2 linked regions of the Anolis sagrei genome follow. The protein of the gene in region 1 binds, or shares a complex with, the protein of each later gene. Links are inferred from orthologs where the notes say so. Each region holds a gene or a part of one and is shown in the gene's direction. Other genes may lie near its edges. The genes, in order: NCOA5 and ESR2.

Region 1 (12,616 bases):
TTGGCCTCCAAGACAGAGATTTGGGGGGGGGGGGCAGGTGAGGGTCTTGTTTGGGGGTGAACAGGCAAGGAGTGGGTGTGAAAAGGATCTAGGAGTGTTGAACATAAGCCAACAGCGTGATGCGGGAGCTAAAAATGCCAACACAATCCTAGACTGCACTGTCACAACCTCTGACGATGCCTGCCACAGATGCAGGTGAAACATCTGGAGAGAATGCTTCTAGAGCAGTGGTTCTCAACCTGGGGGTCGCGACCCCCAGAGGGGTCATTTGGCAATTCTCGAGGGGTCACGGCCCTGCCTCCTGAGGCCCCACCTCCATGTGTCATCCTCAGGGTGCTGGTGAAGTTCAGAAGGCTCTTTGATCGAAGGGGAACTATAAATCCACCCAACTGCAACTCCCAAATACCAGGGTCTATTTTCTCCAAATTCCACCCGTGTTCAAATTTGGGAATATTGAGCATTTGTGCCAAATTTGGTCCAGACCCATAGTTGTTTGGGTTCATAGTGCTCTCCAGATGTAGGTGAACTACAACTCCCAAACTCAAGATCAATGCCCACCAAACCCTTCCAGTATCTTATGTTGGCCATGTTCTACGTCTCTCATCAATCCCTGTCAATTCCTCACAACCCCCTCCAGTATTTTCTTTTGGTAATGGGGGTTCCGTGTGTCGGGTTTGGCCCATGTATGTTATTTGTGGGGGTCTCAGTGGTCTGTGGAAGTCAGAGCTGAGTCAGTTGAAGGTACTGCAGATCCCATCATCCATTGTCCACACTCCTCCAAACATTAATTAATTTTGCATTAATTATGTTCCAATTTGTAATGAAAATACATCCTGCATATCAGATATTTCCATTATGATTCATAATAGTATCAGTTATGAAGTAGCGATGGAAATATGGTTGGGGGTCACCACAACACAAGGAACTGGATTTAGGGGTCACGGCATTAGGAAGGTTGAGAACCACTGTTCTAGAGGGAGGGAGAGGGACAAAGGCAGGTCTTGCTGGTGTCTCTGTCCGGGCAGCCATTGCAGGGAGGCTGAGGGGGTGGGGCCAAAGGAGGTGGCGTCATGACCCCTTGGAAACAGCCAATCGACCCTTCTGGGGGTCGTGACCCCCGGGTTGAGAACCACTGTTCTAGAACATGGCCATACAGTCTGAGAAACCTACAACAACCCAGTTTTAATGCAAAGCGCATGCGTGTTGTGTTCTTCTACTGGTGAGCCCGAGCACGGCAGGGAGCCCCGCCTTCACATTGGTGTGAGCTGCAGCGGAGAGTTCCGCAGTTCCTGGACCAAGTTTTGGGGACCAACAGATGAAATGTGCCCCAGCAGCCAGCTCAAAACCAGGAATGCCTGCAGCTTTCTTTTGCTTTCCCCTTCTCCTTACATTGTATCATTTCCCTAATAAAGCACTTGAAACTTGCAACATTTAATCTTTCCGCTTGATACTTTTGTATCTTTTCCTGCCTCAGACTAATTCAACATTAAAATAACCCTTTTTCCAGGCTCTGAAGAGCCGTGAGCCTGCTGGGGGGCGCCCACTGCCCCCCCCTGGACCCTGGATCTGCGTTCGGAAGAATCGCGGATACGGAAACCGCCATTTTGGACCCCAGTACCCACTAAAACAGTAAAATGGCGGATTGACGCCGTTCAAATTTTGTATTTTTCTGCTCTTAATTCTAAGACTAACTGCCATCATGTTTTCCTCATTTTGGACTCCTGCGCTCGGGGAATAATCATTTTGTTTAAAGTATTTTACTTTGACAGAAATCAGCTGTTTGTCAATTTGGCCGGGTTCTTCCAAGACAGCCCGTTTCTCCTCAGCGCTGCTCGCTCCCTGCCTGGATCCAGCAACCGGGGACCCACTGCGGCCACCCGCAGGAGACCCCGGGAAGGCAGCCAGGCACGGGTCCCGGTCTCTGACCTGGGAGACATAGTTTTCCAAAGGACAGACAAGGACACTGCCCCACCATTGCAACCCGGAAATCCTCCTTGGACTCTTTTTGCCCTCTCCTATTGACTTTCTGCTCCACGTCCCGGACTGTTTTCTGCCATATCTTTGGACACAAACCTTCAGATCAGGCTTGCCCTGAAGAGCAAGCAGCCTCCGTTTCCGTGTGCCTTCACCAGGAGACCATGAATTTATTTCAAATAATAGAAAAACGAGCTGTTTTAATAAACTTTGCTGGGGATGGGGATGGGATTGCCTTATGAAATATATGAAATGTATGTAATGAAATATCATATAGAATGTGCTGTGTTTCCCCTTCCCGCCTTTCCCTTTGACCCTTGCCCCATAAAGATGTGACCTGGGGATTACTGTCTTGAAGAGGAACTCCTTTGTCCTCCCAAAACTCTTCCCGATTGTTTCATTTGCATGGACCATACTGTTGTTTCCCCCCAACCCTGGCCCTCAGAGCAGACCAGCGAGGGGAGGGGGTCAGCAGGAACTCGGAAACAAAGACTGATTTAATCAACCAGGTATTGTTGATCCCCCTTTGAGGTCCGATACCGAAAAAGCCTTTTCATATTTCTTCCCAAATCCCATCAACAGACCAGGAAACTCATTGTTCCTCTATCTGACACCCCGCCAAGTGAGGACAAAGCCACACATTCCAGCTGGCGGATGCCCCTAAGCTGATCATTTCCTCAGCCATTGTTGGCTTCGTCCCGCCTCCTAGCTGCCGATTGGTCCATCTTCAGAGGCGCTAGGAAGGCACTGATTGGCCTCCCAGAGGCAGCGGAGCCCGCTGATTGGTCCGGAGGCGAGGCGTGCTGCCAAGCCTCCTCCCAGCTGTTCCGTGGCCAGCCAATCAGCACGAAGCCGGCTGACAGAGGGTGGGCGGGAGTTTTGAAACTGTTTTCCTTTGTCTGTGTACTATAAAAATGCTTGAAAATTATGCTTGCAGTGGAATGATTCCTGCAATGCATCTTATCTCAGCTGAATCACAAATAAACCTCGGTTGCTGAAAAACTTCTTCCACTTGGATGAGGCATTATTATTTGTAATATTTTTTACTCTTTGGATTGGCTCTCGCTAGCCTCACCAAAGGTCCAGGGCCCTTTTGAGCGGTCCTCAGGGATCTCCTCCGCCGGGAGACCCTACAAAAAGCAGCTCGATATCACTGGCACCTGGTTCTGACAAGGCCAGACCGTAGTGCCCTGTTCTCCACTTTTAAAGTAAGATCCTTCTGTCTTCAAGTTGGAGGGATTTTCTGAGATAACAAAGGACCGCAACTGCCAGCTGGGATGCGAGCAATTGTGTGGTGTCAGTGGGTGGGAAGCAGAGGAGCAACCACTCCTGAGGAGGAAACAGCAGGGATGATGGTCAGTGGGGCCTCTTGACCTCCACAATCTGGCCCGTTCTGCCATGCTCTGGTCTGGTCTGGTCTCTAGGCCTTGAGGGACCTGGAGGGTCAGAGGAAGGAAGCTGGCCCAGAGCGTGCATGTATGAGAAGCGAGATCCAGATTGGATTACTGCAATGCGCTCTACGTGGGGCTGCCCTTGAAGACGGCTCAGAAGCTCCAACTGGTCCAATGATCGGCAGCCAGGATGCTAATGGGGGCCCCTTACAGAGAGAGGTCAACCCTCCTGTTTAAGGAACTCCACTGGCTGCCGTTCATATTCCGAGCCCAATTCAAGGTGCAGGTGCTTACCTACAAAGCCCTGAACGGTTTGGGACCAGCCTACCTGCGTGACCGCATCTCCATCTACGAACCCACGCGTTCTCTTCGGTCATCTGGAGAGGCCCTGCTCGTGATCCCACCTGCGTCGCAAGCGCGTTTGGTGGGGACGCGGGGCAGGGCCTTTTCCGTAGTGGCCCCCCAACTCTGGAACACCCTCCCCAAAGACCTTAGACAGGCCCCCTCATTGGCTATCTTCAGAAAGAACTTAAAAACTTGGCTTTTCCGATGCGCCTTCCCAGATTAGGAAATCTCCACTACCGAGTCCTACAAGCACTTTACCAGAACTGATTGATGCACATTGCACATCGCACTTGCCCTAGAAGCCCTTTATACACCTCCTGTCACATCAGCACTTTTAACGCTTGTACCCACCTTTTGGCCCGGCCCAGTTTTACTGTGTTTTAATGTATTTTGCTTGTTGTTTATTTTTGCTTTGTTTTACTTGCTTGATTTGCGTGTTTATATTGTTATGTTGTATTGTTGCGGCCTCGGCCTGTTGTAAGCCGCATCGAATCCTCCGGGAGATGCTAGTGGGGTACAAATAAAGTTTAATTATAATAAATAATAATCTAGAATGAGATCAGAGGTGCCTTCAAGGGGATTCCCAGGGAATCATAGAATCCAAGAGTTGGAAGAGACCTCATGGGCCATCCAGTCCAACCCCATTCTGCCAAGAAGCAGGAATATTGCATTCAAATCACCCCTGACAGATGGCCATCCAGCCTCTGCTTAAAAGCTTCCAAAGAAGGAGCCTCCACCACACTCCCTCTGGGGCAGAGAGTTCCACTGCTGAACGGCTCTCCCAGTCAGGAAGTTCTTCCTCATGTTCAGGTGGAATCTCCTCTCTTGTAGTTTGAAGCCATTGTTCCATTGCGTCCTAGTCTCCAAGGAAGCAGAAAAGAAGCTTGCTCCCTCCTCCCTGTGGCTTCCTCTCACATATTTATACATGGCCCTCATCATATCTCCTCTCAGCCTTCTTTTCCTCAGGCTAAACATGCCCAGCTCCTTAAGCCGCTCCTCATAGGGCTTGTTCTCCAGATCCTTGATCATTTGAGTCTCCCTCCTCTGGACACATTCCAGCTTAGAGTCAATATCTCTCTTGAAGTGTGGTGCCCAGAATTGGACACAATATTCCAGATGTGGTCTAACCAAAGCAGAATAGAGCATGGAGAGCATTACTTCCTTAGATCTAGACACTATCCTCCTATTGATGCAGTTGGACTACTCACCTTGCCCAGGGGGAGCGGGCGTCACGGCAGAGGAGGCCAGGAGAGCGAGGAGGATGATGATGATGAAGCCGGTTGAGGACTTCATGGTGAGGCAAGACCAGTGAAGCTCCAGCTCTGCCACCTCCTGCCTTTATATCCCCTTCCAAGAGAAACTGGGCAACCGAACTCCTGGCGCTCAGCAGGGAACAAAGCACAAAGCCTGCCTTGTGAAGTGACCTTTGTGGCTGGAAACACGGATGAGCCAACCAACGGATGCCAACAGGATCCACGGGGAATGACACAAGGAAGAAGGCTTCCCATCCAAGAACTGGAGAAGGGCAAGGCCCGCAGGTCATGCCAGGGCAGTTCCAGAGGGAATTCTAGGGTTTAGTAGGCATTGACCTTGAGTGTGGGAGTTGTAGTTCCCCTACATCCAGAGAAGACTATGGACTCAAACAATGATGGATCTAGACCAAAACTTGGCATGAATATCCCATATGCCCAAATATGAACATAGATTGAGTTTGGGAGAAATAGACCTTGACATTTGGGAGTTGTAGCTACTGGGATTTATAGTTCACCTATAATCAAAGGGTGTTCTGGACTCCACCAACGACAGAATTGGGCCGAACTTCCCACACAGAACCCCCATGACCAACAGAAAATACTTAAGGCCATTCAGTCCAACTCCCTTCACCAGGGCAAGAAAACATAATCAAAGCCCTCCTGACAAAGACCCATCCAGCCATAGATAAATAGATAGATAGATAGATAGATAGCTTGCAGTGTTTGGGGAAAGGGAGCAAGATTGAGACATCAACCAGCTGCAACTCATGGTGAGCAGGGGACTTTCCACTGGAAGGAAGGAGGCACCTTTGGGAGAATTATCTGAATTATCATTGGTTCATGTAGGAACCAATGATACTGCTAGGCATACTTTTTGAAAGATCACAAATGATTTTCGAGCTCTCGGAACAAAGCTAAAACAATGTAATGTACAGGTGGTCTTTTCATCCCTCCTCCCAGTCGTAAAACACGGTCCTACAAGGGCCAGAAAAATAGTACAGGTCAATGACTGGCTTAGAAAATGGTGTCAATAATAATAATAATAATAATAATAATAATAAAGCGAAGGCTGGATGGCCATCTGGCAGGGGTGCTTTGATGGTGCTTTTCCTGCAGGAAGGCAGAAGGGGGTTGGACTAGATGGCCTTTAGTGGTCCCTCCCAATTCTTATTATCTATCTATAATAATAAAGAGTAGTAGCAATAATAATACTGATAATAATAATAGTAATAAAGCGGAGGCTGGATGGCCATCTGGCAGGGGTGCTTTGGTTGTGCTTTTCCTGCAGGAAGGCAGAAGGGGGTTGGACTAGATGGCCTTTAGAGGTCCCTCCCAACTCTTATTATCTATCCATAGTAATAAAGAGTAGTACCAATAATAATAATAATACTAAAGCGGAGGCTGGATGGCCATCTGCCAGGGGTTCTTTGATTGTACTTTTCCTGCAGGAAGGTAGAAGGGGGTTGGACTAGATGGCCTTTAGAGGTCTCCCCCAACTCTTATTATCTATCTATAATAATAAAGAGTAGTACCAATAATAATAATAATAATAATAATAATAATAATGTAATAAAGCGGAGGCTGGATGGCCATCTGGCAGGGGTGCTTTGATTGTGCTTTTCCTGCAGGAAGGCAGAAGGGGGTTGGACTAGATGGCCTTTAGAGGTCCCTCCCAACTCTTATTATCTATCTATAATAATAAAGAGTAGTAGCAATAATAATAATATTAATAATAATAATAATAATAATGATAATAATAATAATAATAATAATAACGCAGAGGCTGGATGGCCATCTGCCAGGGGTGCTTTGATTGTGCTTTTCCTGCAGGAAGGCAGAAGGGGGTTGGACTAGATGGCCTTTGGAGGTCCCTCCCAACTCTTATTATCTATCTATAATAATAAAGAGTAGTAGCAATAATAATAGTAATAATACTAAAGCGGAGGCTGGATGGCCATCTGGCAGGGGTTCTTTGATTGTACTTTTCCTGCAGGAAGGTAGAAGGGGGTTGGACTAGATGGCCTTTAGAGGTCTCCCCCAACTCTTATTATCTATCTATAATAATAAAGAGTAGTACCAATAATAATAATAATAATAGTAATAATACTAAAGCGGAGGCTGGATGGCCATCTGGCAGGGGTGCTTTGATTATGCTTTTCCTGCAGGAAGTCAGAAGGGGGTTGAACTAGATGGCATCCCGCTAGCCACGCCCCCGACTGGTGATTGGCCGGAGCTTGCAGAGGCCGGAATTCCGATTGGAGAAGCGGCGGAGCCACGCCCCTCCGCGAGCAGCCAATCACCGCTCGGCGTGGGCGCCTGCGCTTTGAGACAGAACGAGAGCGAGCGAAGCCGTGGTTTCCGTTGGGCGCCCTTTTGTCTTCGTCGCTGGTGAGAGACCCGCGCAGGCCTCCTCGGTGAGTGCAGGGCCGCGGAGGGGAAAGCGGGAGGCCGGGGCAAAGGGGCTTTCCCCGTCGGTTACTTGGCCGGGCCGGGCGAATTCTCTTTCTGAGGCGAGAGTGCGCGCGCAACTCCTCCTACCCCTCCCCCACACACGCCGAGCTGTGCGCATGCGCGAGAGCGGACGGCCATGTTGCGCATGCGCGTCGGCGGCGGAGCGGCAAGGGCTGGGCTCGGTTCCTTTCTGCGCCTGCGCAGTGGTTGGCGCGACAAGGAAGGCACCCGCGTCCCCTCCTGATGACGCACTTCCCTATATCTATCTATATATAAATGCTCTGTGCATAATGAGTGCCTTAAAAACAAAAGAACCAATGAACGAAATCACACCAAATTTGGCAACAAAACGTCTCACTACACAAGGAGTGACCATCACTCAAAACATTATGAGTTTATCATTTGGGAGTTGTAGTTGCTGGGATTTATAGTTCACCCACAATCAAAGAGCATTCTGAACTCCACCAATGACAGAATTGGGGCAAACTTCCCACACAGAACCCCCATGAGCAACAGAAAATACTGAAAGGATTTAGTGGGCATTGACCTTGAGTTTGGGAGTTGTAGTTCACCTATATCCAGAGAGCACTGTGGACTCAAACAATGATGGATCTGGACATGAATACTCAACGCACCCAAATATGAACACAGATGGAGTTTGGGGGAAATAGACCCTGACATTTGGGAGTTGTAGTTACTGAGATTCACAGTTCACCTACAATCAAAGAGCATTCAGAACCCCACGAATGACAGAATCGGGGCAGACTTCCCACACAGAACCCTTATGACGATCAGAAAATACTTAAGGCCACCCAATCCAACTCCCTTCATCGGGGCAAGAAAACGTAATCAAAGCCCTCCTGACAAAGAGCCATCCAGCCATAGATATAGATAGAAATATATGATTCACAGACACACACATATATGTATGTGACAGATGCAGTATCATAGATTTCAAAGGGACCTCTAAAGAAGTACAATTATATGTTGCATGTTCCAGAGTAGGCAAACCAGACACTCTCCACATCAACACTGACAAAGAAACAGCAAGAAATACTGTTTACCCACAAGCAGAAAGAAATTACATATATTGGAAACAAACACTTTCACATTATTTTATTTCCCAGATCAACAGACTGGGCCACAGCAACGCCTGGCAGGGGACAGCTAGTAAACACTATTATGTCAAAATTTGAAAAATGTTCTGTCCCTGGTTTGAAAGTGTGATTTCCTGTTTCATGGTGCGGACCTTGCTTTGAAAATAGTTGCTCTACTCCAGGAACTTGGTTGATTTTGTGGCTGCCACAAACTGGGTTGAAGTAAATTCAGACTCTAATAATAATAATAATAATAATCAGACCTCTGAGGATGCTTGCCATAGATGCAGGCGAAACGTCAGGAGAAATGCCTCTAGAACATGGCCATATAGCCCGAAAAAACCCACAAGAACTGAATAATAATAATAGTTTTGTTGTTCATTCGTTCAGTCATCTCCGACTCTTCGTGACCTCATGGACCAGGAAATAGTGACATTTATCACCCAGGAACAAAAATCACAGTGTCACACCGTGTAATCTATTACAATTATAATTATATAAAAACATAATATATTTATGTAATATATTTATTGTATAATAATATAGTAATGATAAGTAATATATTGTATATACAATGAGGAGAGATGGGTAAGGAATAAAATTATTGTTAGCTACTACAACAAACTACAAAACTAAAACAGACAAAACACACCTATTATTAATCTTATTATGTTTATTAATACCCCGCTTTCTCGCTACAAAAGAGACTCAAAGCAGCTTACAATAAAACTAAATGCAATACAATTTAAAACATAAAAATATAAAAACATTGAAATAGTATTAAATATTAATTGTGCTAAAAATAGTCAAAATCCTTAAAAAATGAATAAAAACATGTTCAAAGCTAAAACCCATAGCACTCCCTGGCTTGTTTAAAAGCCTGCCTGAATAAAAAGATTTTATTCAGGTAGACTTGCACAAACTCCGCTAACAAACAGACAGCCAAGGAAATAATTTTATAAAACTCCTCCTCACAATCTGATTATTTTTATCCCTTATTATTCTATTCCCTATGCCATGTTTTAACTTTGAGGTTTTTCTATACATTGTAACTGTATTCTCAATTTGCTTTTGACAAGTTAAATAAAAATAAATTTCTCTTTAGATGCTAATATATAATTACATTTCTACTTCTGGTAGAAATTCATTAATCCTATAGTTGGCATTTCCTCCCATCATTATTATGAAAATGAGCAAGTCCCAATATTTGAGCAAAAAATTCTCCATAATCAGCATAGTCGGACTCTCCATTTTGGGGATATCACAGATATTTATCCACCATTTGTCTTGTGTTGGGAAAGCGGGTTCCTTCACCTGAGGATTTGCTTCAAAGAGAACATTGTCCACCAACAGGATCCTGTTGAAGGTTGTTTATATTGCTTTACATGTTCATATTTACAATTGTTTTTAGCTATATTTTATTTTAGTCAGATTGGTCATTATTACATCTTGGAGTGGTGATATTACAATTATATTAAACTGGTTGCCAGTTACGTTTCTGAACAAAGTACAGAGAACTCTTGATTCTTACCTTTGAAGACCTGCATGGTCTGAGCCCAGTATCCCCTCCTCCCATATAATCCACCTCAGGGAGATGGTTACTCCACTCAGCTGGATGCACTGCCTGAATTTAAAATAGCAAGAAAGATTGTCTCTTCCAACAGATGGTATTTAAAGGATGAATTTAGATAATGAATTTAAACTATGGATCAATTGTTTGCCTATATATTGATCTTGCACGCTCTTATGTTCATGTTATCCATATTTTTAACTGGTGGTATGTAAGGTAGTTTAATGCAGTGTTATTCCCCACGTTATCTGTGTAGACAGGCAGTTAAGAAATAGCAGTAGTAGTAATACACATCCATACATGCACCTATGATGTGACCTACTTTGAATTCCTTTTTCCAGAGAAGCTGATGAGGCAGGTTGGCTGACCTTGATGCTGATAGTGGTGCTGCCCATAAAGGGGGGGGGGGGCATGGTAGGACTGGGTAAGATGCTACGAGCGTTGCATTCGTTCATAACAAATGATTTTTTGGTTCCAACAAAGCAGGGACCCTCAATGCAGAGGCAGAAGGCTCCACCCTCTATGAGCATGCCAAGGGCAAAAGTTCCATCCTTTTCTGGGCCAAGTCCTAAGGCACATCTGAACCTCTTTTTTTTTTGCAGAATTATTTATTTATTATTATTATTAACAACATTTGTTTACCGCTTTTCTCACCCCTGGGGGGGGACTCAAAGCGGTTTAAAACATAATAAATGGCAAATTCACATTTATATTAAAATATCACATATCTAAATCAATAACATAACTGCAGATAAAAAACTAAACTATAAAAACATCAAACATAGACATAAGCATGAAACATATTATTGCTGCAATTAGTAATGTAGGCCCTGTCCCTTCCTCTCCCCCCCCCCCCCCCAAGGAGATATGGTCAGCATAGCCTCAAAATGGCTTCACTGGGATTATGCCTGGTGACCCAGGATCCCTTCCCATATTTTCAAGGGCCAGCTCTCTTCCCAAGCTTAGCCTTGAAAGAGTTTGGAGAGAGATAAGCTCATATTCTTCTCTGATAGTTCCTTGGTCTCACTCCTCCACTGTGGAGGTGGGATTTAGCAAAGACTGGGTGCCACAGAGAGTAGCCTTTTCCAGAGAGTGCTGTTAGGCAGGAGGCAGAAAGGTCTAGGGCTGTGGTTTGGATAGATAAACTGGAAATGGAAGCCACTGATATTGTAGCAGATTAAAGGCGGTTGGATTTTAAATTTGCTGTTCAGCTGTTTTGAAAGAGAAATTATATTTTGTTTGACTTTGTATGCTTTGGAAAACTTGGATCAATACATGCTATAAATAAATGATATCAAGGTTTGTGTTGTCATGCAGGAAACACTAAAACATGGTTGTAGAGCAGTGGTTCTCAACCTGGGGTCCCCAGATGTTTTTGGCCTACAACTCCCAGAAATCCTTGCCAGTTTACCAGCTGTTAGGATTTCTGGGAATTGAAGACCAAAAACATCTGGGGACCCCAGGTTGAGAACCACTGTTGTAGAGAGTAAAATCCCAGTGGTGTCTGTGCAGCAGAATTCTTGCACCCTGAGCCTCCCTTAATGTTCTCAGTGAACACTGTAGGTCTTTGTAGTGCACCATAAAGTACGACTACATTAGACAGTGACATTAGATGGGTTTGCAGAATATAGATGTTGCCTTTGGCCAGTAGAACAGGTCTACTCTGCTTATAGGCTCTTCACATGGATTTAAGTATTTATCACACTATTTAACTATTTTATCACACGGATTTAACTACTTTATTTATTTATTTATTTATTTATTTGCTGTATTTATATCCGGCTCTCTCTCACCCCAAGGGAATCTCAGAGCAGCATACAACATGGCAGTGTTCAATGCCGCATACACAATCAAATGAAACCCAAAACATCGTATACATAAAACAAATAAAAATATAAATAACGTAAAACTGTTAAAAACATTGGTTGCTTGTACCATTATGTTATTGATCATGCTGTGAAATAAACCATATCAGAAACTGTTTTTGCACTTCTTTCCCAATCTTCCCATTCTATTTATTTATTTACGGTATTTGTATACCGCCTTTCTCAGCCTGAAGGCGATTCAAGGCGGTTTACAGTCGGCAACAATTCAATGCAGACATAAAAATACAGTTAAAACCATTTAGCATATAATATAAAAAAAAATCAGCGTCTCCTCACCAAACTCGTTTTCCAGTCGCATCGTCAAGTCGTTCCATAGTTCCATATTTGCCTGTTATGCTGCATTTGCGAAAGCTTATACTGGTGGAAGGAGCGTTTCTTTCCTTATAGACTTCTGCCTTCAGCCTGGGCTCTTGTCTTTGCCACTTGTGGATTGTCACGGTGGGTTAATCCCAGCTCTCTTTATCTGGAAGCTGTGCCATCACAGCAACACCTTCTTTCAAGGATACATTACCCAGGATACTTCCCTAGTATCTTTCAGAATAGAATGTGGTGCTCTTTGCACAATGTGGACAATACGCTCCCTTGGCAAACTGGCTGTTCCCCAGTCAGTCACTGGGCTAGTCTTCAGTAGTCAAGATGGGAAAGGGAG
Region 2 (11,976 bases), on another chromosome or scaffold:
AGTGTCCAAATGTAGTAATCAAAAGCAATGTCCAAAAAGCATGAAAATACAATCTAAGGCAATAATTATCCAGACAGGAATCAAACACGAAGCAAGAACAGACCGGACACTGCTAGTCAACTTGAAAGGCTAGAAAAAACCATGAAAATGAGACCACTTGAACAGGTATTCCATGAGGCTTGTACTTGGTTTCCAAATGATGCCTGATCTGACAAGATTCTCTAAAGGCAAACCTTAAATCCCAAAAAACTGGTTTCGTTTTCCTCCAGTCTTTGACTTTAACTGACGAATTCTTTTGGATCTACGTAAACATTGGGCCTCTTGTCGATTCTGGCCAATTTCCAGCCACCGACTCTGCTTATCTGCCTCCTCATTAACTTTACCAGGTGTCAGACTGTTTTCCCAATTAGAATCTGGCGAGCTCACAGGCAGAGGGAGTAAACCTTTCTCCCAAGGCCTGACAGAAACATTCTCATGAGAATCTGCCCTTTGCACCAAAGCCGCTCTGTCTGCTATTACTGTAAAATACAAAATCCGTGGTCCATCCTCCCCCAAACCGCACCAGGAGGTAAAGTGGGTCATGGGGGCTTGGAATGCAAAGTTGTGTCAAAATGTTAAGTCAATCGACCGACTACTTTTTGAGTTTTGCAAGAACAAACATATGCAGGCTGCGTTATATCTATATATCTATACTTATATCTATATATAATGTCAAAGTTTGTATGTATGTTGGCTTGTCTGTTTGTACCACAAAGGTTCCTCCATGGCTTGTTGGATCTGGATCACACGTGGCACACAATCCCTTCATTACTCAAAATAATTAAGGAGTTTGAACAAAAAGAACCACACTTTTTGGGCCCAGATCTGTAATGTTATGAATGCAGTATTACAAATAATAATAATAATAATAATAATAATAATAATAGGTTGTTAACTGTTAGGTTGTTAACTGTTTTTACACTGTAGCATTGAATTTTTGCTGTTCTTATTTGTTGTGAACCGCTGTGAGTCGCCTTCGGGCTGAGAACAGCTGTATATAAGTAAAGTAAATAAAATAAATAAATAAATAATAATAATAATAATAATAACAACAACAACAATAATAAATACAGCTAGCGAATTGCAAAGACATTCCTGAAGAAAATAATCTGACAATAATCCTGACTGAAATGGAAGAAGGCAGAAAGGGTACAGTGAAAGGAAAGCCAACATTTTTTCCTGAGTTGGGAGACTATAACCACTCCAAACTGGACTCTACAAAATGGAGCATTATTTTACACAGAGACAAAAATTATTATTATTATTCCCAGCATATCATTTTTGCTCTATAATTACCATTTGCAAAACTGTCACAGTGGGGACAGACTGTTTATTGGTTGCAAGCTTCAGATTTAAAAACCTGCATGATTCAGAGTGGAGGATGGACAATATCCTGCCAGTCTTCCCTCTCTTGCTAATGTACTCTCACCCTTTTCCTAGGGGGAGAAGCCATCCATTTATGACCATTTAGTTTTATTCAGGAATATGACATGTGTTTTATTTTCCTTTTAAAAGCTTTGTCCTGATGTTCGCCATGTGGCAGGTTGACTTTAAATACACCCTTTTCAGTAACATCATTTTGTCTTCAACCTGCTGAGTTGTTTCTCTGTCCTGGCTTATTTGGTTTAGCATACGCTTTCCGGGCACAGACTCGCTAACCGCGGTTCTGGCTGAAATCACTACACCAGGCTTATATAGCATTGAGCCATAGCAGTTCAACTGTCACCAAACTGCATTAATTTGAGAGTGTAGATGTCTCCCAGGACTTAGAACCCTCTCCATCCAGTGATCACCAATGCGAAGAAGAATTGTAACAGCAATCTTGCTTCCGATTTTCTTTTCAAAATTTCCTGATAGGGTTGCCAGTCTTCACTGAATTGCACTGGCCATAGAATGCATTTTCAAACTGCATTGTATGGCAGTGTAGATTGAGACTAAGACTGAATTTGCACTGCGACACAATGCAGTTTCGGGGGTCATTTGATTGCAAATTTCCTGCTTCTTGGCAGGGAGTTGGACTGGATAGCACATGTCTCCTCCCTTTCTATGATTCTATGATTCTAAGAACTGGATTATATGAGTCAACACTGCCATAAAATCTAGTTCATGTAGTTAAACTGCATTCTGAAACTGCAATATATGGCAGTGGAGATGGGCCTCAGTGGCAGCTGGTTGCTTTCATGTCAGTAAGACAGTGGCATATGTTAGTCCCAGTTTCAAAGACCCTGTTTGAAATGTAGGACCTTATATCTTAAATAGGGTTAAACCCTGAATATCTCTCAGGGTGAGCTTCCGCTGAGAGAGGACATGATAGACATGTTTAAATATGTGACTACTTTGGAGACATGGTTTCAAACTGCAGGAAAAAAGAGTCCAACTATACATTAGTAAGAATGTGATGTGGTGGCAAAAAAAGCCAATGGGATTTTGGCCTGCATTAATAGGAGCATAGTGTCTAGATCTAGGGAAGTAATGCTACCCCTCTATTCTGCTCTGGTTAGATCACACCTGGAATATTGTGTCCAATTCTGGGCACCACAATTCAAGAGAGATATTGACAAGCTGGAGTGTGTCCAGAGGAGAGCAACTAAAATGATCAAGGGTCTGGAGAACAAGCCCTATGAGGAGCGGCTTAAGGAGCTGGGCATGTTTAGCCTGAAGAAGAGAAGGCTGAGAGGAGATATGATAGCCATGTATAAATATGTGAGAGGAAGCCACAGGGAGGAGGGAGCAAGCTTGTTTTCTGCTTCCTTGGAGACTAGGACGCGGAACAATGGCTTCAAACTACAAGAGAGGAGATTCCATCTGAACATGAGGAAGAACTTCCTGACTGTGAGAGCCGTTCAGCAGTGGAACTCTCTGCCCCGGAGTGTGGTGGAGGCTCCTTCTTTGGAAGCTTTTAAACAGGGGCTGGATGGCCATCTGTCAGGGGTGATTTGAATACAATATTCCTGCTTCTTGGCAGGGGATTGGACTGGATGGCCCATGAGGTCTCTTCCAACTCTTTGATTCTATGATACTATAAGAACCTTTTGGCTATGGAATATGCTGCTTCGGAACATAGTAGAGTCTTCTATGGAGATTTTTTTTAAAGAGAAGAATGGCCATCTGTAGGGGGTGCTTTGATTGTGTGCTCCTGCATAGTAGGGGGTTAAACTAGATGGCCCTTGTGGTCTCTTCCAATTCTATGATTTTCTACAAAAGGCTGACATCATGTTGGAATGAAACTATGAATAACACTAAAACCAAACTTGGAAGCACTTATTTAAAAGTTAATGAAAAGACATTTGAAGATAACACAATTGAAGACTGTACAGAATGCTACAAAAAGGTGTTTCTTAAAAAAATATTCTCAAAAGCTGGGCTCTCCAGGCCAATGGATACTCCACCGCAGACATCAGAAGAGCTGCAAGACCAAGAACAAGCCACGAGAGTAAAGATGAAGATCCACCCAGAGGAAAAGTGTTCCTGCCATACATCAAGGGAACCACTGACCGCATAGGGAAGCTGATGAGGAAACACAACATGCAAACCACTTACAGACCCACCAAGAAAATCCAACAAATGCTACGTTCAGCAAAAGACAAGAGGGATCCTCTCACCTCTGCAGGAGTCTACTGTATACCATGCAGCTGTGGACAAGTCTACAGAGGGACCACCAAACGCAGCATTGACCAGACACGGATCAAGGAACATGAAAGGCACTGCAGACTACTTCAACCAGAGAAGTCAGCCATAGCAGAGCACCTGATGAACCAGCCTGGACACAGCATATTATTTGAGAACACAGAAATGCTGGACCACTCCAACAACCACCATGTCAGACTACACAGAGAAGCCATTGAAATCCACAAGCATGTGGACAATTTCAACAGAAAGGAAGAGACCATGAAAATGAACAAAATCTGGCTACCAGTATTAAAAAGCTCTAAAATTACAACAGCACAACAACAGAGAGGAAGCAAGCAGGGACATCTTAACACCTCTCAGCAAAAGATTTTCCCAGGCTCAGCCAGGCCTTCAAATGCTAATGAAGGTGGTCAGTTGAAACATTCACACCTAGCTCCAGCAGAGAAGAGCTCTTTGCCCCACCCCAGCCATTCCACAGATATATAAACCCATTGTCCTAATTCCAACAGACCTCACTACCTCTGAGGATGCGTGCCATAGATGCAGGCGAAACGTCAGGAGAAAATGCCTCTAGAACATGGCCCTATAGCCCGAAAAAACCCACAAGAACCTATTCTCAAAAGCTGTTGAAATAAATGCCTTGGCTTTGGATAGACATTGAAGTAGAGGCTAATCTTGGGGTCTCTTCTAACTCTATGATTCTATGATATCCTCATTCCATCCACATTGTGTTATTTTGTCAAATGACAAGAAATGGAAGAAAGGTATCTGTAAATTTGTTTGAACAAACATGCAAGTATCGCATATTTTCCTTGAAAAATAAGAAAATAATCAGCTGCCTGTACAGAAATTAATAAAAGGAACTAAACAATCTGCCTTTGCTGGGCGTACAGACGCTTTTCATACAATGTTTTAGTTTCTCCTCTAGGATTCTGAACATTTTGGGGGCTGCTTGTGTGTAGTTGTGATTTCATTTGTGTCAGAAGAACAGGGTGGGCAGCAAACACTGTGTTGGAAAGCAGATAACACCATATGTGTCAGTGCTGAGGAAAATATTACAGGCACTCTTGTGTACTTAGGACTCCCTCCATTCTAATACCAAAGATCATCGTCTGGAGCCTTCCACCTTCTTCGTCTGAGCAAGTCAAACTGTTCCCATTTTCTGTATTTTAGTTTCTTTAATGTGTTAGAAATTATAACGACACAACCACAACTAAAAGGTACAGGGAGTTCTCCCCCCTCCTGCACAATATCCACATCTACAATTGCCAGGATCATATGTGCTAGTATTGTTGTGTGCCTCCAACGCATTGCCAACTTACAGCGACCCAAAGGCAAGCCTCTCACAGAATTTTCTTGCCAAGGTTTGTTCAGAGCTAGTTTGCCTCTGCATTCCTCTGAGGTTGAGAGAGAATGACTTGCCCGAGGTTAATCAATGGGTTTCCATGGCTGAATGGTCTCAGAACAAAGTGATGTAGTTATTTGAATGTTGGACATGCAGACAGTCACACTACTCAATTGATTCCAAATCCAAAATATCTGAAAAATGAGATATAAGTTGCAACACATTGTTGGTTAGGAGTAGGATATTATGTACACATCAAAACCTTTGTATTCAGACAGGCTTTGAAACATGAAGGTGTTTAAGATCTAGTAAGGGGCGCTGTTTTGCTATTGCTAACCGCTCAGAGTCGCCTAAGGGCTAAGAAGAGCCGTAGATAAATATAGTAAATAAATAAACAAATAAATTTGTATTTACATGTAAATGTATCTTAATTTTACTTTAATGCAGATGTAATGTATCTTGTGTCCCCCCCCCCCTTTTCTTCTTCATTGTGTGATCCCCTTCTTTGGATCTGTAATTGGTTAAATGGACGAACCCAGAGAGCGCTCACTAACGCTTCCTCTTCATCTTGGAAAGAAGTGACGAGTGGAGTGCCACAGGGGTCCGTCCTGGGCCCGGTCCTGTTCAACATCTTTATTAATGACTTAGATGAAGGGCTAGAAGGCAGGATCATCAAGTTTGCAGACGACACCAAATTGGGAGGGATAGCCAATACTCCAGAGGACAGGAGTAGGATTCAAAACGATCTTGACAGATTAGAGAGATGGGCCAAAACTAACAAAATGAAGTTTAACAGTGACAAATGCAAGATACTCCACTTTGGCAGGAAAAACGAAATGCAAAGATACAGAATGGGGGACGCCTGGCTCGAGAGCAGTACGTGTGAAAAAGATCTTGGAGTCCTCGTGGACAACAAGTTAAACAAGTTAAGCATGTTTAGCCTGAAGAAGAGAAGGCTGAGAGGAGACATGATAGCCATGTATAAATATGTGAGAGGAAGCCACAGGGAGGAGGGAGCAAGCTTGTTTTCTGCTTCCTTGGAGACTAGGACGCGGAGCAATGGCTTCAAACTACATGAGAGGAGATTCCATCTGAACATGAGGAAGAATTTCCTGACTGTGAGAGTCATTCAGCAGTTGGAACTCTCTGCCCCGGTGTATGGTGGAGGCTCCTTTTTTGGAAGCTTTTAAACAGGTGCTGGATGGCCATCTGTCAGGGGTGATTTGAATGCAATATTCCTGCTTCTTGGCAAGGGGTTGGACTGGATGGCCCATGAGGTCTCTTCCAACTCTTTGATTCTATGATTCTATGATTCCTTCTTTTTGATTTATTTTTCAATTCCCTTTATTTCCTTCATTCTTTTTTCTGTTTGACTCTATGTTCTAAAGAAAAACTGTAATACATATTTATAAAAGAAAATGAGAAAATAAGATTACATTCCTGGGGTGGCCACCAGTTGACAGGAGACTTGAAAGTCCCCAGTGGGCAAGGAAGAGGTGGCCAAGGTGAGCCTGGAGTGCTCTCCCGCCATGAGGATGATCACCTATCTGGGCGGCTGGCTGGTCCCTCCTTCCTTCCTTTCCTGCCTGCTTGTGGTCACCAGAGGAGAGTCCTCCTCTTGGGCATGGGAGCTGGCACTGCCAGGGAGTGAGTGACTCACGCCAGCTTCTCCAATTTATTACGGCAAAGAGGAGGAGGAAGAGAAGGAGGAGGAACTTACTTACAGCAAACTCCTGCCTTGGCTGGGAGGGATGGCGAAAAAACACGCGCGTGGGTTGCGGACGCGCGTGTGATGGTCGCGGATCCTTCCAAGGCTGTAGGGCTTTGGAAAGACACTAAGGAGGCACCAGCCACGACTTGTCCCCAGAGCCAGAGTGCCTTTCGAGGGTGGAAAAAGCCAGGAAGAGGCGAAAGAAGAGAAGCTGAGGAGGCATCCTGATGCGCCTCCTCGACTGCGCACTCCAAAGCTCTCCGGTAAGTCCTTGCTGTGGAAATGTCTGTGAATGAACTGGCCACTCTAATGGAGTGGAAAAGACCCCTTGGAGATCATGAGGAATGGAGGTCCATTTTGGAATCAAATAGTACATGGATTGATTTTTTTATATATATATAAAAGCGGAAAGGGACCTTTCCTCTGCTTTTGGAAGTCTGCTCTCTGGAGAGTTGCTGGAAAGGAATCCTAGAAGAAGTTTGTTTCTTGATTGACTGGTCTACAAGGGGTTGGACTAGATGACCCTTGGGGTCCTTTCCAACTCTACCATTCTTGGGACTGCTGGGCGTGAGTGTGATTTATTTTCCTCTAACCAATTCATCACACTAGAGAATGAATCCACTTTAAATCCGGTTTCTGCCTCCTGCAGAATTCTGGAGTTTGTAGTTTTGTGAGGCTCCTAAAGGGTCCTCCCTAAACTACAAACCCCAGAATTCTGCAGGAGGCAGAAACCGGATTTAAAGTGGATTCATTCTCTAGTGTGATGAAGTAGTAAGACAGTGGTTCTCAACCTTTCTAATGTGGTGGAGGCTCCTTCTTTGGAAGCTTTTAAACAGAGGCTGGATGGCCATCTGTCAGGGGTGATTTGAATGCAATATTCCTGCTTCTTGGCAGGGGGTTAGACTGGATGGCCCATGAGGTCTCTTCCAACTCTTTGATTCTATGATAATCCAGTCCCTCATGTTGTGGTGACCCTCAACCATAACATTATTTTCATTACTACTTCATAACTGTAAATTTGCTATTGTTATGAATAATAATATAAATATCTGATATGCAGGATGTATTTTCCTTCACTGGACCAAATTTGGCACAAATATCTGATATGTCCAAATTTGAATACTGGGTTGGGGAGGATTGATTTTGTCATTTGGGAGTTGTAGTTGCTGGGATTTATAGTTAACCTACAATCAAATGAACTCCACCAACGATGGAATTGAACCAATGTTGGCACACAGAACTCCCATGACCAATAGGAAATACTGGAAGGGGTTGGTGGGCATTGAGCTTGAGTTTTGGAGTTGTAGTTCACCTACATCCAGAGAGCACTGTGGACTCAAATAATAATGGATCCAGACCAAACTTAGCATAGAATCATAGAGTTGGAAGAGACCTCGTGGGCCATCCAGTCCAACCCCCTGCCAAGAAGCAGGAATATTGCATTCAAAGCACCCCTGACAGATGGCCATCCAGCCTCTGTTTACAAGCTTCCAAAGAAGGAGCCTCCACCACACTCCAGGGCAGAGAGTTCCACTGCTGAACGGCTCTCGCAGTCAGGAAGTTCTTCCTCATGTTCAGATGGAATCTCCTTTCTTGTAGTTTGAAGCCAAATACTCAATATGCCCAAATATGAATATTGGTGGAGTTTGGGGAAATATACCTTGGCATTTGGGAGTTGTCATTGCTGGGATTTATAGTTCACCTACCATCAAAGAGCATTCTGAACTCCACCAATGATTGAACTGAACCAAACTTGTCACACAGAACTCCCATGAGCAACGGAACATACTGGAAGGGTTTGGTGAGCATTGACCTTGAATTTTGGAGTTGTAGTTCACCTAAATCCAGAGAGCACTGTGAACTCAAACAATGGTGGGTCTGGACCAAACTTGGCACGAATACTCAATATGCCCAAATGTGAACACTGGTGGATTTTGGGGGAAATAGACCTTGACATTTGGGAGTTGTAGTTGCTGGGATTTATAGTTCACCCACAATCAAAGAGAATTCTGAACCCTACCAATGATAGAATTGGGCCAAACTTCCCACACAGAACCCCCCGAAACCAACAGAAAATATTGTGTTTTCTGATGGTCTTTGGTGACCCCTCTGGCACCCCACTTGCAACCCTCCCCCAGGGGTCCCAACCCCCAGAGAAGATTGTGTGATAATGGCAGAAGTGTTTGAAAACACTGGCCAAAGTGATGGAGAAACTGGAGAGATTGGGCAGCTAGTCAAACTGGGTCCACCCTAAGCCCCGAGGAACTGAGGCAGTCAATGTCTTGTGTTGTTTTTTAGTCCTGTGTTATTGTCAGCTCTGTGAAGGAGAGAGTCCAAACTATGTACTCGGAAACAAACCCCCTTGCATCCTGTGGGATTTATTTCTTGGAAATCTTGAAGATTTTAGCATGAGCCACAGATATTTCTTGGTATGTGTCTACAGTCTCCCTTCTTAGGAATGGCATGAAAAGAGATTAATATAATTACTTGCTTAATTATGAATGTTGTCATCTATTCATGCCCTTTTAATTTCTGATGCTTCTCTATCGAACTGATAACCTGTAGTAATGGATAGTTGTCCATGAGCCATCCAGTATTAAGCATTAAGCGTAGCAATCCTATATGTGGTTATCTGGAAAAAACTTTGTTGATCTCAATGGCTTTTATTTGAATGGGCACAGAAATGTTTCCACTAAATTCCACTGATGTTAATGAGAGATTTAAACATTTGTTTCATCCTTATCCAATGACAGTAGGATTCAGAGTCATAGCCATATCGACAACACATTCTTTCTCTCAGTCTCAAAGGTGCCAAAAGATCCATTTGCATACTTATAATTGAGACTACAATTATAAGTATGCAAAGGGATCTTTTGGCACCTTTGAGACTGCGAGAAAGAATGTGTTGTCGAAAGCTTTCATGGCTGGAATCACTGGGTTGCTGTGAGTTTTCTGGGCTGCTTGGCCATGTTCCAGAAGCATTATCTCCTGATGTTTCTCCCACATCTATGGCAGGCATCCTCATAGGTTGTGAGATCAGGGAGCCCCCGGTGGCACAGTGGGTTAAACCCCTGTGCCGGCAGGACAGGTCGCAGGTTTGAATCCGGGGAGAGGCGGATGAGCTCCCTATATCAACTCCAGCTTCTCATGCGGGGACATGAGAGAAGCCTACCACAAGGATGATAAAAACATGAAATCATCCGGGCGTCCCCTGGGCAACGTCCTTGCAGATGGCCAATTCTCTCACACCGGAAGCGACTTGCAGTTTCTCAAGTCGCTCCTGACACAATTAAAAAAAAAAGTTGGAAACTAGGCAAATGAGGTTTGTATGTCTGTGGAATGTCCAGGAAGGGAGAAAGAACTCTTGACTGCTTGTGTGAATGTTGCAATTGGACACCTTGATTAGAGTGTAATGGCCTTGTAGCTTCAAAGTCTGGCTGGTTGCTGCCTGGGGGATCTTTTGCTGGGAAGTGTTAGCTGTTAGCTGGACCTGATTGATCCTTGTCTGGAATTCAACCGGCCTCAGCCCTTAAGTGGCTGAGCAGAAAAGGAAGGAACCTGAGGATGTTAGGAATTTTGGGAGTTGAAGTCCAAAACACCTGGAGGGATTAAGTTTGCCCATGCCTGGTCTAGACTGAGGGAAATCATAGTCCCACTCTCTTCGCCTCTATGATGCACTTTCCCCCTGTCCTAAACTGAAAGCCTTGCCCCACTGTTCTTATCAGTATTGGGCTCCCCTCACTTACATATTTTTATTCCTACCTCACCCAGGGTTTTTATTATTTTATCATTTTATCTTGTCCATTTGGCCTGCCCAGGGTCTAGCCTAGCAAACCTTTTGCATCGTTACCCCAATACCCCCATGCATATGGGATATATTGAGTATGGTGATCAGATCATGATATGAATAAACATAACAGTTTAAATAATGCACCAGTAAGGCCTCTTCGCGAACCACCATGAGAATTTCGGGGGGGGGGTGAAGCCCCCCAAGCCTCCCCCCCCCCCCCCCGGGCTACATGCCTGGCTACTGTAATTACCTCTGATGTAATTTTTGTTTCTGTATTCTGAGAGAATGCTTCTGGAACATAGCCATACAGCCTGGAAAACTCACAGCAGCGTACTGAGAGACAGTAGTTGGTAGCAGATGCTTTTGTAGACTTCAGTCACTACATCTGATGCAGGATCATGCTACAAGGTCCTTTTGCATTTTATTCAAAAGAGTACACTCCAAGTGAATCATGCACATGGGACTAGCTCTAGAATTTGCCTTCTGTTAGTATAATTGTTTTGCTCACAAAAGGTGGTTTCCACTGATTGTGGGGATCCTTGCTTCCTCTGTGTATCACAATCTACTCCCTTCAGTTGGATCCCTTGATCATTGTATACATGTTTTTAGGATTTAAAGGAAAAGAGGGTCCTTTTTTCCAACCCGTTTGCATGTACCTATATCTATATCCAAGAGCCAGCATGGTATGATCGATTGAGCGTTGGACTATGACTCCAGAGACCAGAGTTCGATTCCCTGCTTGACCACGGAAACCCATTGTATGACTTTAAGTGAGTCACAGATCCAGAAAAATCCCTGGCTGTACATTCACAAGTTGGAAACATCTTGAAGGCAACAATAATAACAACAAATTTATTTATTTATTTATTTACAGTATTTATATTCTGCCTTTCTCACCCCACAGGGGACTCAGGGAGGAGTACAATGCACATACACATGGCAAGCATTCAATGCCATTAGACATACAACATATATAGACAGATAATTTAACATTCTAGCTTTCTGGCTTCATGAGGGTATGCTCGATTAGACCACAGGGGGAGCTGTTGCTGCACCTTCCACTTTTGACACCGAGTCCTTGATGGAGTACTTCCTCATTTTTACCAACACTGCTGGAAGGTTTTATGGTGTTGTAAATTAGTTAAATTAGTCTCCCCACATATAGCAGTACCTAAATTTCCTACTTGACTGATGCAGCTGTCTTTCAGGCTGCATAGGTCAACAGCAAACTTGACTATCAATGGTTGGGAGCTCACTCCAACTCGGGCTCACTTCGAACTCATGACCTATCGGCTACTAACTAGCTGCACCACAGCCAGGATCCAAACTCCTCTGTATAATTCCTAAAGAGAGTGGCACACTGAAATAGCCTTCCCTTGACACTCTGGTCCCTCCTACTCAGCTGAATAAAATCCCACATATTTTGCATTGAATTGGAATCGATGGCAGTGTGGACTCAGA

What was found.
Region 2: the proteins of NCOA5 (region 1) and ESR2 are in contact, whole or in part, in a crystal structure (PDB 4ZI1), measured with the Homo sapiens proteins. The link is inferred for Anolis sagrei from reciprocal best matches to the Homo sapiens genes NCOA5 and ESR2. Residues at the interface, in NP_066018.1 of Homo sapiens: Ser344, Leu345, Ile346, Leu348, Leu349, Ala350, Asp351; in NP_001428.1 of Homo sapiens: Ile310, Lys314, Phe319, Leu324, Gln327, Val328, Leu331, Glu332, Leu490, Glu493, Met494.

Annotation. Positions count from the first base shown.
Region 1 is NC_090024.1:248,049,223-248,061,838, forward strand, and holds the start of NCOA5 (nuclear receptor coactivator 5), read left to right. Parts: upstream 1-7,281; 5' UTR 7,282-7,377; intron 7,378-12,616. UniProt on the Homo sapiens protein: Nuclear receptor coregulator that can have both coactivator and corepressor functions.
Region 2 is NC_090021.1:330,449,207-330,461,182, forward strand, and holds the start of ESR2 (estrogen receptor beta), read left to right. Parts: upstream 1-6,728; 5' UTR 6,729-6,988; intron 6,989-11,976.